Linked DNA regions of Drosophila melanogaster. The protein of the gene in region 1 interacts with the protein of each later gene in a pairwise test. Each region holds a gene or a part of one and is shown in the gene's direction. Other genes may lie near its edges.

Region 1 (7,562 bases):
TTGGGATCGTACTGTACCGTCGTCGGTATCTGAACAAACCGCAGGCGCTCAGCGAACCAGACTCGAGTGTCTATATCGATGATAGCACGATGCGGGTGAGTGTAAGGATTCGTTGACCAATTGCCAGTGGCGCTTGAATGTCCTATGCACTAAATAGTTCTCTCTCTTGATTTTGCAGGACAATTCGGATGAGATGTACAGCCTGGACAACGACTCGTTTCTCAATTCGCTGGAGGCGATGACAATACAGAACTACTGGACGGATACGGTCAAACATACAAAGCTTTAATCTCCGGCCTTCCCCGTTGGAAGTCCAATCCCCTCTATCATTTATTGTACGTCTTTGGTTCGATTTCGATTACGATTCTGTTTCGTTTCGCTGTTAAAATTCCATTCCTGATTTGACAACCAGACATCATAATCATTAAGTAGCGTAGTTTTTAAGCGCGTGTATGTATTTACTAATGTTAGGCAACCAAACGAGCAACTAGTTTAAGCCCAAAACTACCAAAATTATGTTTAGTGTACGTGTAGATCCTAAGTGCGCAATGTTTTTGTTGGCCTTGACTGTTAGTTAAAGCCTTTCCCTAACAACTTCCCCACTAACCCGATTTTTGTAAACCAACCCATTGTACTCGTATCTGTTAGTTAATTATTAAACCTTATTTATATTGTTGACTATTTTATCGCCCTTCCCAACCCAAGTCTAATTTTAGAAAACACTATTTATTAAGTTTCCAACTTTGTGTCCAACAATTAAATGCAATCATTCCTTCCAGTTTAGCCTATAGAGCAACTTTACACTGTAATTAATGTATTAAAAGCGAAGCAAGCAAACAACAATTAAAAGAAAACATCACACAACCACACACCGGTGTTGCTAGAATTTTTGGGAAAATAATCCGTGTCTAATTCCTAACTTAATTCATTAAGTTTTCGATGGAAAAACAAAACTTGCTGTTAAAATTTTAATTGCTTGATAAATCTTGAACGAACGAATTATTATCACTGAAATTCTGGCAAGACTGCAAGAAATTGTTTCAATATACACAAATATATAAAACGAATTATAAGCTAACGAAGAACAAGAAAAACTGTTTACTGCCACACAATCCTTGTCAATTTTGCTCATCGAACTTTTATACACCACTTGTACTTGTACTATCCGTTCGAATGTTGCAAATATTAAACGAAAAACAAAACCCAGATGGAGTACATTAATCATTAAATGCTAAACTGATATTATTCGAAAAAGTGTTATCAATTGGCGCGGGAAATTCATCGTACAAGGAGTGTTGGAAAAGTAGACGGTACCGCGTAATTAGGGCAAGGTACAGGAGAAAGGGTAAAGTCAAGTAAAGCTGGGGTGGAGAAGGAAACATATTTAAATATGTTTAAAATGGCTTTTAGCACCTACTTAGGTACGAATTGAATAGTACCCTCTAACGCTGCTCAACACTGTCCGGCTGTTCGCTGTCGATAGCAATCGATAGGCCATCGATGTTCTAGCAGAGACTATCTATATTGCTGCCAATCGCTCTGCGCCAATCGAGTTGCTGAAGGAGTAGTGCAATAAATATGAATTAAATGGTAAATATAAAACCGCGACAGGTGTTGTTTTCGTGCCTATTTGCTGGCCGTGTTGTTGTTGCCGCCGTTTCAGTTGTTGTTGCTCGAGTGCGCTGCGTGTGTGCGTCGTTATGCGACGAGTGTGTGCATGAGTGTGTTGTGTTGTGCGGTGCCCCCACCAAAAAATAACGAAACGAAAAGCAAAGGAGCTGCAAAAAAAATACGACAAATCTATTGATTTTTAACAATACGCACATGGATAGATACACATAACGGTAACGGGGAGTTTGTTTTTTTCCCACGCCTCCAAAGTGCTGAGTGATTGCAACAATCGGCGACAACAAAGGGCTAGCACCAGCACCACCATCGCCCCCTGGCACCACCCACTTGCACCACCCACCACACATCCTTCAACCTTCGCGTGGGTGGTTGTTGTGTCTGGCTGCAGCTTCCTGCGTTTGTTTTGCCTGCGCGAGGACTTTTGGAGGCCAAGTTTACGTGTGCGCAATCAACCACGGACACGGTAGCTCCGGAACTCGGAAACTCGCAAGCTCGGTCAGTGGCAACCGCGGCGGGGGGCCCTAAAAAAGGTGTCCACATATAGACACATGGACAGGCAATAGTGGGTTAATTGCCCGCATTGATTGCGCTGGCCAGCCAGGGGGTCACCACAACCAGAGGTTACCAAACCAGTGCAGCAACAAACCGAAGCTCGAAACAATGGAATACTTATTATTAGCTAAACTCAATTACATTTAACGAGGTGAGCTAGGACCTGTAATAAGATACAAATACACATGAGAATGATTAGGGAATGATTGGGGCAAACCCAATTTAAAGCAATAGGCTTAGGTCCAAAAATAACAAATCAGCAATTTTATAGATTGGCATTTTACTGTGCTGGTTCCTGTTGTCCGTATCGCGTATGTCTAAACACACCCGGTAATCCAGGTATTTCTATGTCGATTTAAATATATAGTACGCAGCGGCAAGGTATCCAGCAAAAGTACGTCATCGACACGACCACCTGTCCCTGATTTTTTTCTGGGCTGAGCTGCAGCGCAGTGAATCATTGCCGCCTTAGATCATCGACTAATCATCCATTCTCCCCCAGGCAGTGGCCCACAGTGAGGCAGCAATCGCAGCAGCAGCAGCGGATGCAGCAGCAGCAGCACTAGAGCAGTAGTTGTAGTAGTATCGAAGCCGCAGTCCCTCATACCTGGAGAATCAAAGTTGTTGGTGCAGCCATGAACTCAAACTCCTGCAGTGACAGCAGTAACGAGTCCATGGTCAATCCACCGCACATACAGATGAACTTTGGCCAGCAGGCGCAGCAGCAGCAATCGCATCAGCACCAGCAGCAGCAGCAGCAGCAGGAACGTTATGTGTGGGAGATGCGAACCCGTAGCCCAAATGTGACGCCAGCCAGCACGGTGCTCAATTCGCCGGATCTCAATGGCGAGCTGTCCTACGTTCCGCTGCAGGGTCTTTCGCCATCGGGCGGAGGTGTTCAGGGATCCGGCAGCTATGGTTCGAATGCGGGACGCGATTCTGGCAGCTATTACTACCAGCGACCGCAGTTGCATCAAATCCGACTGGGTAGGAGTCCGGGCAGCCAGTTTGAGACACGGGATGTCCTGCCACAGGTAATTTAACTTGGAGAATTACTTAGAGGCGTAGTTTCAGTCACTACAATGAGATTTTTCTGCTTTTTCTTTAAGGGATTGGCCAGCCCCGGCTCACCAACGGATGTGGGCAAGGCGGACGGTCAGTGCCTGCGTGATGGTGAGATCGTGGTGTTCGACGACATTGACACAAACTGGATGAACAAGGCATCGAGTGGCCAGCGTCCAGGCAGCAATGAGGATGTCCTCAAGGTGACCAAAATGATTGGACAGCTGCCAATAGCCGAGTACGAGGGTTCACCGCGACGATTTGGAAGTCAACCGAATACAAATACCATTACCATGGGTGGTCCTAGAAAACGTCCGCCGGGTTTCCCGCAAAGAGTTTCGCCCACCACCAGTGTCGCTAATAATGCAACTGCTGCAGCTAAAGCATCCGTGGGCAACCTTATCGATTTGGTCGACCACGAGGAAGAGCGTTCCGGGACGCTTCGCGAGAAAACACCTACTTTCGACTACCTGTACGAATTCTCAGAGACCAGAAAGGTGCTGGAGGAGTTCTTCAAGGCGAATCCGGAGGACGAAAAGCGGTACACGGATTACACCACGGAAAGTGGAGACGATGTCGCTAGCTCGGTGAGTACTACTACTTCCAAGAAGCCTAGAAACCCATTTAATATTGCATTTTGATTGACTAGCAGCCACAAGAGTACCCAGCCACGCCCATGGAGCAGGCATATATAGGACAGCGGTTGGCGAGAATACCTAAAGATGAGCTCTACATGGTTCACCGGTCGCCTACTAAAAAGCCAGTGAGTCATAACGAAATGAAATTCATTAAAATAGCTAACGATTGTTCGATTTCTAGCCCAGTGACCAGAATCCATCGACGGCCTACCAGGAGCATAATGATATTGAGCTGTACATTGATTCGAATAGCCGAAGCAGCGGCGATTTGGCGGACACCGAACTGGAGGCAAATCTGCGCCGACACTCCCGAAACTTTACCCTGTCTCCCGAGACGACGGATTACGATTCGAATTGCGGTGATTTGGACAGTCTGTCTAACGACATTAACTGCCCCACGGATTTTGGTAAACTGTATACGAGCATGCCTGTCCTAGAAGATGGCCTGAGCAGTGGCCACGCCTCCGACACGGAGAACAACGTATCCGTGGTGTGTGACAAGCAGCAATCGTCCCAATCTCAGCCCGTCCACGAGCACAACGGTAATGGCGAGCGGCTGGAGAACGACTACAATGTGATGAGCGCCAGCTTGGCCACATTGACCACAGATGCCTCGCAATCGGCGCTGATAAGCGACTTCGCCTCACTGCCCATGCCCCCGGCTCCGCCTCCATCATCGCCGCCCCAAATCGAGATCGCCGATGCAAGTGAATCCATGACCATGGTCCCAGATGCTGATAATCCACTGGACAGTCACTACGGTGCGGTTTATGCAGCAGCTTTGGGAGGTACTCACACAGAGAAGTCAGCGGGATCAGGACTGGGGGTGACACCAGTAACTGCGGGAGGATCTTTGCCATCGCAGGCTGCTTCGGAAATCCAGGAGGCCATGAAGGAGATACGTTCCGCCTTGCAGCGTGCTAAAACGCAGCCTGAAAAACTAAAATTCTGTGACGAAGTGCTGCCCACGGATCCAGATTCACCGGTTTGGGTTCCACGCAAAGGGACGACGATCTCGACGGCCCAAGGTGCGGCGGCGGATGAGGAACCAGACACCGACCTTGAAACAGATCGTCTATTGGGTCAGCAGAGGCACGATGAGCAGGATTTCTTCGCCGATCAGGTGAGGAATGCAAACTTACAGAGATATCAGCTCAAAATAATTACGAAATAATAATTTTACAGAGCCTGGCTGATAACAATGCCAATGAGGGCACGGATATTGCCAGCAATGGGCATCTAAATGGCACGTCGGACAACAACAATCCGAATCCTATGAATAATAGCAAGCCGCAAACCTACTCGACGGCCACCATTCGACAAGGCATCGGCACCTCGTTGACACCCAATTCGCCGGACATCTGTCAGATTGTGGGCACGACCGACATCTCCATAAGCTCGCCGGAAAAACTGCAGTTCACCAAAAGTCCCACGGGCTCTATTAAATCCCTGAAGGACTCTGCCAACTCGGACAAGAAGGCCAAATCGCGGAACAAAGAGGGTAAGTTAGCACAGTTGTCAACGCCCCTTGTTGTTCGTTTACTGATATGGAAACCGATTCAACATTTCACGCTGCAATTCAAATCTATTTAATGCTGACATCACGTAAGTCTCTGTTACCCAGCAGATGTTTAGGTTTATTAAACTACCCTTATGTGTATTAACAATCAGAAATGAAGACCATTAACGCACTTCGTAACTAATTTAAATAATGTTCGTTCTTAGGTCTCTTGGAACCCAAAGTTCTCATTGAGGGCGTGTTGTTTCGGGCCAGATACCTTGGATCCACTCAACTTGTCTGCGAGGGTCAGCCGACCAAGTCGACCAGAATGATGCAGGCCGAGGAGGCCGTTTCCAGGATCAAGGTAAGTGAAGTGAAAACCTGGTGATGCACACGAAAGCACATCCATTCAAGGAAACCCCGCTAGGTTATGCTCTATGTGTGTGTCTAAAAACTTTCTCGTTCGCTTTTCTCGTTCCCTGCTGCGCATTCCTCTCGATAGGCTTTGGTAAGCGTTCGTTAGCCCCTTTCAGTCGTCAAATGATAGCATTAAGAATTAAATGCATTATATAATATATGATTTGCTATTTTTTTACCAGGCTCCCGAGGGCGAAAGTCAGCCGAGCACTGAAGTGGACCTGTTCATATCAACCGAAAAGATAATGGTGCTTAACACGGATCTCAAGGAGATCATGATGGACCATGCGCTGCGTACTATATCCTATATAGCTGACATTGGCGATCTGGTTGTGCTGATGGCTCGTCGTCGATTCGTACCGAATAGTGTTGTGGATCCATCGATCACCAGTCCATTAGGTGATGTTCCCACTCCGGGCATAGGCGAGGAGGAGTCGCCCCCCAAAGAGCCACTCAGCAAGCACAATCGCACGCCCAAAATGATCTGCCACGTGTTCGAAAGCGATGAGGCGCAGTTCATAGCTCAGTCCATTGGACAGGCCTTCCAGGTACGCGAATATTAATAATATTATTGGCACGTATAATTAACAATCAAAACCTAACCAGGTGGCCTACATGGAGTTCCTGAAGGCGAACGGCATCGAAAACGAGAGTCTGGCCAAAGAGATGGACTACCAGGAGGTGCTCAACAGTCAGGAGATTTTCGGTGATGAGCTGGAGATCTTTGCCAAAAAGGAGCTGCAAAAGGAGGTAGTTGTGCCGAAGGCGAAAGGCGAGATCCTAGGCGTGGTGATCGTAGAGAGTGGCTGGGGATCCATGCTGCCCACCGTGGTGATTGCCAACCTGATGAGTTCAGGAGCAGCTGCCCGCTGCGGCCAGCTGAACATCGGTGACCAGCTGATCGCCATTAACGGCATGAGCCTGGTGGGACTGCCGCTGTCCACCTGCCAGAGCTACATACGCAATGCCAAGAACCAAACTGCCGTCAAGTTCACCGTTGTGCCCTGTCCGCCTGTCGTCGAGGTTAAGATCCTGCGTCCCAAGGCGCTGTTCCAGTTGGGTTTTAGTGTTCAAAATGGCGTGGTAATTATAAAATGCTGAATTTATTCTTCTTATTCTAATCCTTCTAATCATATGTATTTATTTAATGCAGATCTGCAGTCTTTTGCGTGGAGGAATCGCTGAGCGGGGTGGAGTACGCGTAGGCCACCGCATCATTGAGATTAACAACCAGAGCGTTGTGGCCGTGCCACACGATACCATTGTCAAGCTGTTGTCATCCTCAGTGGGCGAGGTATGACGCGTTTTTAAATTCGTTATTCTTATATTAACAATACCTTTCCAATCAGATCCTGATGAAGACAATGCCCACGTCCATGTTTCGTTTGCTCACCGGTCAAGAGACGCCAATCTATATATAAATATATATGCAACTGTTCACACGCCTACGCTGGAATCGAAAAACTATAAATTCGTCAACTGCAACTTGACCAGCTTAAAGTTACATCGATTCGCAAAGAGACCTTAAATTGGAATTTGTTTAGTCTTAAATTGTTCATTGATTATTTGTCTTTATGTATTCACATTGCAAGCATAATTGTAGTTAATTTAAATGAATTGCAAATGTATTAAGTCTACAATGAGATTAATTGTTCGTCGTCAAATCGTTCAGGTGTCCACAGCGACCACAACTGCAATAGAGAGATTACTATTACTGGAGTTACAGAAAATGCTACTTTTTGGTTCATTTTGTCCATCTGTGT
Region 2 (4,619 bases), about 17 Mb from region 1:
GCTCGATTTCATATTCATTGCCACGTACGTTTCAGCTTACCGTGCACTGCCACGCCAGCCGGCTAAGTGCGTTGCGCAACTAGGTGAAATGTGCGTTGTTGTAGGTGTATAGCTCCGTGTCTGTACCAGGCTCCGTTCCTAGGTTTATGCTTTCCTGAGGCCTAGCAAGTAGGAGGCGGCGTAAATAAACAAATGTAAGAAATCTAATTTGTAGCCGGTAAGAAGATCAGCTGTGCGGCACAGAGTTGCCAGTCGCTGGGAAGGAAAAAATGAACATGTTAAATAATGTCGAAAGTGGTTTGCAACTTGGCTAAGGGCCAAGCAATAAGTGATGTGGATAGGAAATTGGGTGGTTGGTGGTGGGAAACTTGGATTTGGTCATATCTTACATCTTACATCTTACATCTTACATCTTACATATCGACGCCATCTAGTGCAGATTGGCTTCACCATTAGAAAAAGTATATAAACTCTTGAATCCATCGAGGAAAACAAATTTGAATTAAGTTTAGTGGTTTATAAAAACTCGTGCATAGGACAGCCTTTTGAAGACGGTGACCTGTGCGAAATTCCCTTGGGAGTTTCCACCTAGCGGTGTGCATGTAAACTAACTAACAAGCACTCCGCCAGACACTCTTGGTTCGCCCGCGGAACCAGTTCTCCCTAGTCACTTCTGTCCTGCTTGTTCCGCTAATACCACTACCACTGGAAGCACTGGTACCATAGTGCAGCCCGGACAGCCAAAAACATTGTCACCCCCGCGGAAAGCGGAAGGCCAGTTGCTCGATTCGCCCTTAATATCGATCCCGGGCACGCGCTCTGCATTCTGCGCCCGAGTTCGACTTTCGCAGTTCGCACTTTCGGACGTGGACTCGCAGGATTGCAGGCAACGAGACCACTCGCAGTCGTTTGTGAGCGTTCGCAGCGCCAGGTATAGCGTACAGCCAGGGCTCCAAAAACTCAGCGCTTTAGGGGCTTCTTCGGGCCACCCCATCTGACCACTCCCCGACAGCTTGGGAAGGCCAGGGGCTGCTGGCCAGTGGCTCTTGTCGTTCTCCCGCTCGGGCGGAGAGGTGGTGGCCGAGGAGCCACAAGCACAAAACCAGAGACACACATTGAGAGACCGTCAAATTTAACCAAAACAAGCTCAATACTTTTTTTTGCTGTTCAAGTGCTAAATAGTGCTAAAAAAGAAACCCAACAACAAAAACCATAGAGAAACATCCAAAACAAAGTGATACAAGTTCGGAAAGAAAAAGCGAAGCCGATGCCAATAGTGGATTTGTGATGCCAACTTAGCTGGGGGACAATAAGCAGCGCACCTGCGCAGAATCAGTGAGAAAGGGGTTGGGAAAGTGCGCAGAAGCCCGACGGATACGTTCCAAGAGTGCGGGAAGGGGTTAGCGAGTGGGTGGATTTGCGTGGGAACTGCCAAGACAGGAGACAGGAGACATGGACAAGTGACATGGGACGTGGAACCCGACGACTGCAGCTGACAACTTTTCCAGGCGCAGAACGGCGGCCATAGTGCCACTCATATTTTCCGTTTCGGGGAAGTACAATCTCAGGACCCCGAGAACCAGCGAGTGGGTATGACAGGACAGATAGCAGCGAGTACTCTCGTAGCTTTGCCTTATTTTTCTTTTCTTCCTTTTCCTTCAATTCCCTTATCCGCCCCCGCCCATCACGGACTCTCTCCTACTACGTTCCACAATCGAATACTACGGCCACTCACATACAAGCCACACGCACAGAGTTTTCCGAGTTGACATTTTCCGTGCATAGGTTTCTGGGCATCGGCGAAAGGAAAAGCGCTGCGCTGTGGGCAGCTAACTTGGGCACCGCAAATCGAACGAAATCGGAGTACGAACCTTAGAGCGCAGAAATCAGAAAACAGAAATCATAACCCAGAACCCAGAAAGTTAAAGGCTGAAACGAAAGGCCACAATTCCGAATCGCTTGCTAATGAAATTTTTTTGTGTTTTCGATTTCTTGCTGCTGCTACCGTCGTCCGCCTGTGCAGCAAAGTGTTAAACGAATAGCCAACAAAGCAAATACAATTAACCAGAACTGGAAGCACGTCAGTCCAGCCGCAGAAGCAGCTAAGTTCAGACCAAACTCGGAGATTCCCAGCCAGGAGATAGGACCAGGAGCCAACCAGACGAGGAGCAAAGAAGCAGAAAAGAGTGCGAACAATGTGCGCCGCGCTGCGTCGTAATTTGTTGCTGAGGAGCCTCTGGGTCGTCCTGGCCATTGGCACTGCTCAGGTTCAGGTGAGTCACCGAATCCCCACCACACCACACTACACCACACCACACGACATAACAACACACCACACTACAGCACACCACAACACACCACAGCACACCAGACCATTTCACTCCACTTTCGATACAATACTCGATGGAACGAAGGAGTAAGTCGAAAGAGCCGAAACTCAGAACAGAAACACAAACCGAAAATGAAACTGACAGAGAACACTGGGAAACTGGGCAAAACTGCACACTAAAACATTGTTTCGTTAGGGCTTTAATCGGGATGACAAATTGATTTAAACAGACAACTCGACGCTCGATGTTAGCCACGCATTGAAGCTGATAGAAGTCAAAACAATATTAATTCGGTGTCCGGGGAAGACAAGTAGGTCTCCAGCAATTAGGGACTTGTGTTGTTGCGCTACTGCCTCATCTGGCTTACTGACACAACACCCAACTTATGTATAACTTGAGTACGGCTCACAAAATAGCAGTGTGGCTCTATACTTTCTGCGTGCAACAGCAATACCAATCGCAACCGCAACCCACACACACAGGCACCCACACTCTCGCACACACACAGAGAGCCAGATACACAAGCACACAAGCACTTGAGCGGGTTTCTGTGGGATGTGGTGGCCGTCGGCTAAGCAGCCGCGCAAAGTATGCTACGAAAAATGTGCCATCGCTTAGCAGCGGCACTAAAGGCTCGAGGGCTTGAAGGCGGGAAAGGGTTGGGGATTGGGGATTGGGGATTGGGGATTGGAGATTGGGGATGGGTATGGGATGGGGATGGGATGGGGATGGGTGATAGGGCTGCCAAATTACTTGCGAGTGTGCGCAAGTATTGGCTTAATTGAACCGTTTGCTTGTCGCTGGCTACTGGCCAACTGAAAGCCGAAAACCGAAAACTTGAGGCTAGAGGATAGCAGCAGCTGGCTTCGACTAGCAATTTGCATATAAAAGTAGCGGAGGTGTTACCGAAACCAAACAGGGCGTGCAGACATTTTGATTTTGATTTTCTACACGCAGCGACTGGCAAATATCGTAGAAATGGAGTGCGGGGCCGGGTTATGCGTCCTTCGGTTGGGGTTTAAGTCCGGCTAAAAACTATCCGGCTCTGTCTGAGCATAATCCCCAAATTGGTCTGGGGCTGGACCTGCATTCACCACGAATCCTCTTGTTCAGGTCAATTCATCGACTGGCATACGTGCACGCACACACCTACCGACAAACCAAAAGGGAAGACATGCGTTACTAGGATATTGTTAGCTTTAGCTAAAGTGTTTTTAAATCATTTGCAAACAATTTTTGCCAGGCGGCAGCTCTCGTTCTTTGGGGCCGATCCACAATCGCCGACGTGCCTGACCTTAACAATTTTGCTTTACTTTCTTGTCTCTTAAATACCTCGGAGCAATTTTCCCTTGGCAACGCAGAGCGAACAGTCTTCTGTGGCGGAACAAAAACCTAATAAAATCCATATTCATGTGGAGACAGACCAATTGAAAGAGAAGAACCGAGGGGCAGCACCTCCAAGGACCCAGGAGCCAGGAGTTCGGCCCAATCCCGGACAGGGGAGCAGTTAAGCTGCTTTATAGCGCATTGCACTCCTTTCATGTCTTGCTTTGTATGCAGCCTGCAATTTGCTTTGCTCTCCATTCGTTCATTCACTCTCCACCCATCTTACCCTTAATTCGGCTATTCATGCTAGACCGTCGCTGCGTGCAATTCATGGCAGGACTAGCCTGGACCTGGTCAGCCACTCACCCACAGGTCCACCCTTCAGCTTCGTTGTTATCAGGGGCACGCATCGCCGACGTCATTTTTGTGGTGGTCGTTGATTACTTATGTCGCTTGCACCCACCATTCCCACCCTGCTTGGGACAACTACTGCTAAAGCGTTTTAATACCTTTTGCTTCGTGTAACTTTAATATTGGATCATTTTTCTTTGTGAAAAATGCTAGCAGTTGGTTGCAATATAACCCACATTTTCAGTAAAAAAAAAACTGTCGGCAAAGTTCTGTGTGTTTTAAGCGGGATTTCCAAAGTAGTGGTTTCCTCCAATGTTGTAGTAATGCATTACCAACTAGGGACTTTTTTTAAAAGAATTTCTGTTTTTTTGTACCCTGCCCTCCCCAGTTGCTCACCCGTTTTGTAGCTATCTCCTTTCTGCTTGTATTCTTTCTGCCCTTTTTCACTCTTTTTTTATAAGGACATGTCTGAATCATCCAGAAAGCAGGGAGGGATTTGCGGACTGCAATGTGCAATATACCCGAGAATCTCCCCAAACACTCGATGCCAACGATGTGTCTCCCTCAAACCTGGCAAACGGAACACGCAATCGTTGCTGCCAAACAGCCCAT
Region 3 (5,019 bases), about 15 Mb from region 1:
AGAGTTCTTCCCTCCGCACCTTTTAACCATATTAATGAGCAGCCAAAACTGTCAACTAAAAATAGCGATAAACAGAGCATTTGATTTGATACAATGCTATGGAAATAAGTCTTGAATTCAAGAAATACTTTAAAACGTTGTATAGATTCCATGAGTTTATATATTTGAAAAGAAAAAACCACAAATTAGCTATAACAAATTTGTTTGGGGTTAAAAAGGGTGTGCGTGATAGGGGAGCTATCTGAAATATTTAAGGACAAAACTTGTGCATGCATTTCGATTTTATTGGTAATATAGTGTTTCAAAATGCTGCAACAGAAATCCTATCTTGCGAATGGAATTTATGGGATCTGGCTATGAACCTTCTTATCGAGAAAGGCTTTTTGTTATAGTTTGTTGGGGTGTTTATAAACAATTTTGGACTACGCATATGTAGAGGAAATGCCCTGACTATGCAACAACGTTCGCCTTATCTTTCGTCTTTGTGTAAATTTAGAGCGCAATGCATTGATATTCCCATACGGCGGCCATAAATTACATGACAATTACTTGGGGAGCCGAAGAAAATCAGCGGTGCTTGGAAAATCCCCCCTCGAAAAGGCAAGCAATGCGTGGAAAGAGGCGCGAAGAGAGAGCGGAAAATTGGAAGAGAGCCGACACTTCATCACTCGCTCCGAATTTTCCGATTTTCCGGCGGTGCCTCCCTCACACGCGTAGTTTAAATTGCGTTCGCAGCAATCGTGCCATAAATTTCCCTTCCGAAACTTGTTTATTTTGGTCTTGCATGTCTCCAGTGCCGAAATCTTCCCATCCAACAGTCCATCTTCATCGCTGGTAGTATCTTTGTATCTTTTGTATCTCCCTATCTCTCGTGGAGCGCACAGCTTGTGTATCGATTCAATTATGGGAAAACTTAGAATCAACTCATCATGCAGTCGATTGATTAACAAGTCGCACCTAGTAAAATGGCTCCCACAGTGTTTGAGTTTTCAGCTGAGCTTGGCTTTACTACAAGTGTGACATTTGAAATGTTCTTAAGCCAACTAAAATTATGCATGCAGCAAAAAGCGCAGGAATGTTGGCACTTCAAAAAAGGGCTGCTTAATGTAAAAATTAAGCTAATTTAATGATAAATTAATAGCTTCTTTTTGAAAATCATGTTAAACACTTCTCTGTGTGGTTCCCATGGGATTTCCGCCGTTTTGTCAAGCCACAGATTTGGACTTTTTACTCAAATTGCTCTGTAGAGGACCATATGTCGCTCTTCACAGCCCTTCTGGCATTCCACAATCGGAAGAAAGACTGCAGATTTCTACCAAAACGGGAAGAATTGTGGGTGCGAAGAAGGAGGAGAGATTGGTGAACAGCTGCTGTCCCGACAGCATTGACCTCTTGACGGCCAATTCTCCTACTTTATCTCAATCTGCAGTGTTTAAAGGGTTTATACTTTATGTGATCTTTTTTTTTTTGTTTTTTATCTTCTCCGGCAACAGTTGGTGGTCCACACTTTTGGCGGAAGGTGGCGCTGCTAACAGCAAATCAGAGTGCAATTAAGGCCAAAAGACAGATGGCCAAAAATCGTGGCACATCGGCTGGCAATATCCCCAAATTTGCGTGCACAGAAACAAAAAAGATATGTATAGCGAACACTAAATTGATTCGTATAAATAATTTATAATATTTTTTAATATAATTTATACATTGCATCTGAAAACTTATAGTAAATATATGATATGAAAACATATATCCCATATATATGGGAATTTAAAAAAACATTGGCTGCCAAACATAATCCAAATGAATAACAACATAGAACAGAGGTTGCATCGAGCCGCGCTGTTAGCCCTGTTGCATGCTGTTAGAGCCTGAAACACCACTTGCAACATCATCGAACATGTTGCGTCGCTTTGTTTTGTTTGAAGACAAGCCGCGCCGGCCGAAGAAGTCGGATTTTTGGATCGAGTTCGCACTTCGTTCCGTTCGCTCGTACCGTTCGCTTCGTAGCGGCGGAAACTCCGTACTTTCGATAGCTGGTATCTCACAGATACTTTTCGAGACCCCGAAGACGAGAACTCGCATCGCATATTCGCCCGAGAAAACTCTCAGTAAATCTCAGATAATTAAAACGAAATATATAACTAAACGTCAATTTTTTTTTTGGTGCAAACGCAAGCCAAAAAATTTCATTTTGGTGTGGATTACCAGTGGAAAAGTGTGTGCTTAAAATGGAATAAACAAGGCTATCATAAAAACAAAGCCCGAAAAACCAAACAAGCTGAAAATTGTCAACCCAACAATTATGGATTAGTGCCAGTGGCCGGTCAGAGTCAGTTAAAAATATATATGCATATAAGAGGACTAAGGAGCCGAAATTGTTTAAATTGATTACAAACAAACAGTGTGAGTAAAAAAGTTCATCAGTAAAATCTAAAGAAAACTCCTGTGCTTTTGGCTTTTTTCATGCGCCAACTGCAACAGCTGCTCCCTCACTTTGACCTTTTCGTTTGATTTTGTTTATAATATACTGTTACTGGCCAAGTCTCCGCCTCTTTTGGCCCCTCAAAAGTTTCGCTTTTGGCCACTTTGGCATTTGGATTTCGAGTTTGCTTGAGTGTATTTTTTTTTTTTTCGAAGAAAATATATGTGTTTTTAATTGAAAATGGAAGCATGATTTTTGGTTGTAAGTAGACTTTGTTAAAGCAAAATTTATATTTTCCTTTCTGCCTAATGAAATGCCCAATGGCAAGTACTAGTTGCTGAAAATATTAAAATGTAATAAAATATAAAATAAATTAAATTACCATCTTTCGAATAACGTTTAGATCTTATCAATCTGAAAATGAGGTTTATTATACAAAATCTATGTTAAGTTGTATATCACAGATATACTTTCCCCTCTACAATAATAGATCTTCAACTCCAGACCTTGGACACCTAATTAGCTTCTTCTGACCATTCCATCCCTCTGAGCATCTATAGAAAAAAGTGCTCTTCTTAACTGATTCGATCTCTTCTTTCCTTGGTTTTGCATGATTTATGATTTAAAGCAATAACTTTGAAAAACAAAATGTACAAAGCTAGTCAACGATTAGGCATTTCGTAAGCACTTAAGTTGAAAAATTAATATTAAATGTATAGAATGATTTTTTGTTCGTATACAAGTATGTACACAAACAAAAAATCTACTTGAATATATGCTAAACAATGCTAAAATCATTCTGAATAATTTACGGCAAACGATAAACTTTAATGAGTATAACATTCAACTTCAAGTTTTAATCTACATAATAGGCAATGTATATTAAATGTGCGCTTTGGTGTAATTCTTTAATGCGTATATTTATTTATAACATTCGAATGGTATACCTATTTCAATGGTTTATTTCTGACATTTATGGATTAATTCATTTGGTTTTAAGTAAATAAATTTGCAAATACATTTAATTCCTTTTGTCATTGATTAAGTGAAATGCCAGTAATTCGACTCTCTTATTGACACATTCAAAAATCATAAATCAATTATTCCAAATCCAATAGAAATTTATTTATTACTCATAAAATTTTTCTCTGTGTAACTCCCCCCAGCTGTAAGCGAAGAAAATGTTGCTAGCGGCTGTGGTGTTAAAGAACAGAAATGCGAGCTAAAGAAGCTGAAGGCCCAGAAGCTTTACCAATACATCGATACATTGCACACAGATACTCAAACATCTGCAAATGCATATACAAGCGTATCTTCAGACTCACGCACCTGTCCCTTGTCATTAAAAAAGCAAGCAAAGTTTCAATCTTCTTTGGCAAGCTAACCTTTTACTTACTCTGCTCCATCCTCTGGGTTCATATATGTCGCATGATAAACACCGGAAAAATATTGATTGGCTGGGAGATTTGCTAAAGCACGATTAAGAAAACTAGTCTCAAAAAAAGTTAGTCTTTGACCAGAAAAAGTATTTGTTCTTTTTTTTTTTAATTGAAATTAACTTATTTTCATACTTATTTATCTTGATTGAAGCTCCTATAAATTCATTTTGAATAACGTTATTAAGTTTTTTGGTTTGAAAACAAAAAGAAAAAATATTTTTAAAGTGTATTTGGGAACGTGTGTGTAGCTTTTGGATTTTATAATTTGGCCCAATTTGCTGGCATTGCAAATTGCTAAAAACGTCTGAAACAATCGACAGGAGGAAATTGGGGAGTGTGGGAAAAGGATGGCAAAAGAGGCGTTCGGTAGGCGTGGCAGGAAGTGCAACATGCTCATGTCGCAAGTTGTTGCTGCCGCCTGTATTTCTCCTGCACTTTTTGTTGCTGTGTTATCGATTGGCGAGGCCGCATTTGTTGGATCGTTTTGACGCGTCCTCGTCAGCATGTCGAAACTTATTTTTCCTTTTCAATTTCGCCCTGCGATTTTGCATTTTTTTTGTTTTTTTTTTTTCGCCTGCCTGTCGCTTTGTTAGTTCTTTGCATGCCACAAATTATGTTCGTCACCCCCTTTTGCCCCACCGCGCTGGATGGATTACCTTGAGAGCGGAGCTGTCAGGCTTTTTGACAGTTTCTGCCGTATCGGTTCCACCGATTTGACTGCTGCGCTCATCCGTTTTGCCTGTTTTTTTTTTTTGTTTAAGAAAGTGCTTCGTTTAATGAATAATTGGTATTTTATATCATTTAGGTACAATAAGAAAAGACTTATTGCCTGGTATTTGCATCTGCCAGCTAATTTCTCATCTCATCTCTAAAAAGAAATGCAGACGAGGGCATTCGAAAGGCAAGCAATTTATCCCTTGGTTAATTTGGTTAATTGAAGACAATTGAGGGCCGCTTTGCAGTTCATTAAGCCTCATCAGCGTTGAGAAATGGGGCCCAGAATCCAGAAGTCCAGAAGTCCGAATCCCAGATCCAGTTCCATCTATACTTTCCATTTCCAGATCTGTTGTCTTGTCGCCAGACTAATTAAAATATTTGCACTCAAATGCTTAAGCAATAAATATTTGTCAAGCCATCATCATTAGGAGGAGGCTATAAGGG

Evidence for each region. Proteins that work in one complex are often made in the same cells at the same time.
Region 2: the proteins of X11L (region 1) and Appl interact in a two-hybrid assay, tested with the Drosophila melanogaster proteins (one study listed by BioGRID).
Region 3: the proteins of X11L (region 1) and rst interact in a two-hybrid assay, tested with the Drosophila melanogaster proteins (one study listed by BioGRID).

Annotation. Positions count from the first base shown.
Region 1 is NC_004354.4:17,598,090-17,605,651, forward strand, and holds the start of X11L (X11L), read left to right. Parts: upstream 1-1,518; 5' UTR 1,519-1,590; intron 1,591-1,901; exon of another isoform or gene 1,902-2,332; intron 2,333-2,683; 5' UTR 2,684-2,816; coding exon 2,817-3,215; intron 3,216-3,290; coding exon 3,291-3,830; intron 3,831-3,892; coding exon 3,893-4,006; intron 4,007-4,062; coding exon 4,063-5,004; intron 5,005-5,066; coding exon 5,067-5,382; intron 5,383-5,606; coding exon 5,607-5,746; intron 5,747-5,884; coding exon 5,885-5,890; intron 5,891-5,981; coding exon 5,982-6,347; intron 6,348-6,405; coding exon 6,406-6,882; intron 6,883-6,952; coding exon 6,953-7,093; intron 7,094-7,148; coding exon 7,149-7,220; 3' UTR 7,221-7,562. Other genes in the region: CG12991 (uncharacterized protein), read left to right, coding at 1-95, 158-289.
Region 2 is NC_004354.4:529,604-534,222, forward strand, and holds the start of Appl (beta amyloid protein precursor-like), read left to right. Parts: upstream 1-1,566; 5' UTR 1,567-1,586; intron 1,587-2,023; 5' UTR 2,024-2,195; coding exon 2,196-2,273; intron 2,274-4,619. UniProt on the Drosophila melanogaster protein: During development, plays a role in the regulation of the neddylation pathway. Appl and APP-BP1 interact antagonistically during development.
Region 3 is NC_004354.4:2,970,782-2,975,800, reverse strand, and holds the start of rst (roughest), read left to right. Parts: upstream 1-1,966; 5' UTR 1,967-2,400; intron 2,401-5,019. UniProt on the Drosophila melanogaster protein: Required for correct axonal pathway formation in the optic lobe and for programmed cell death in the developing retina.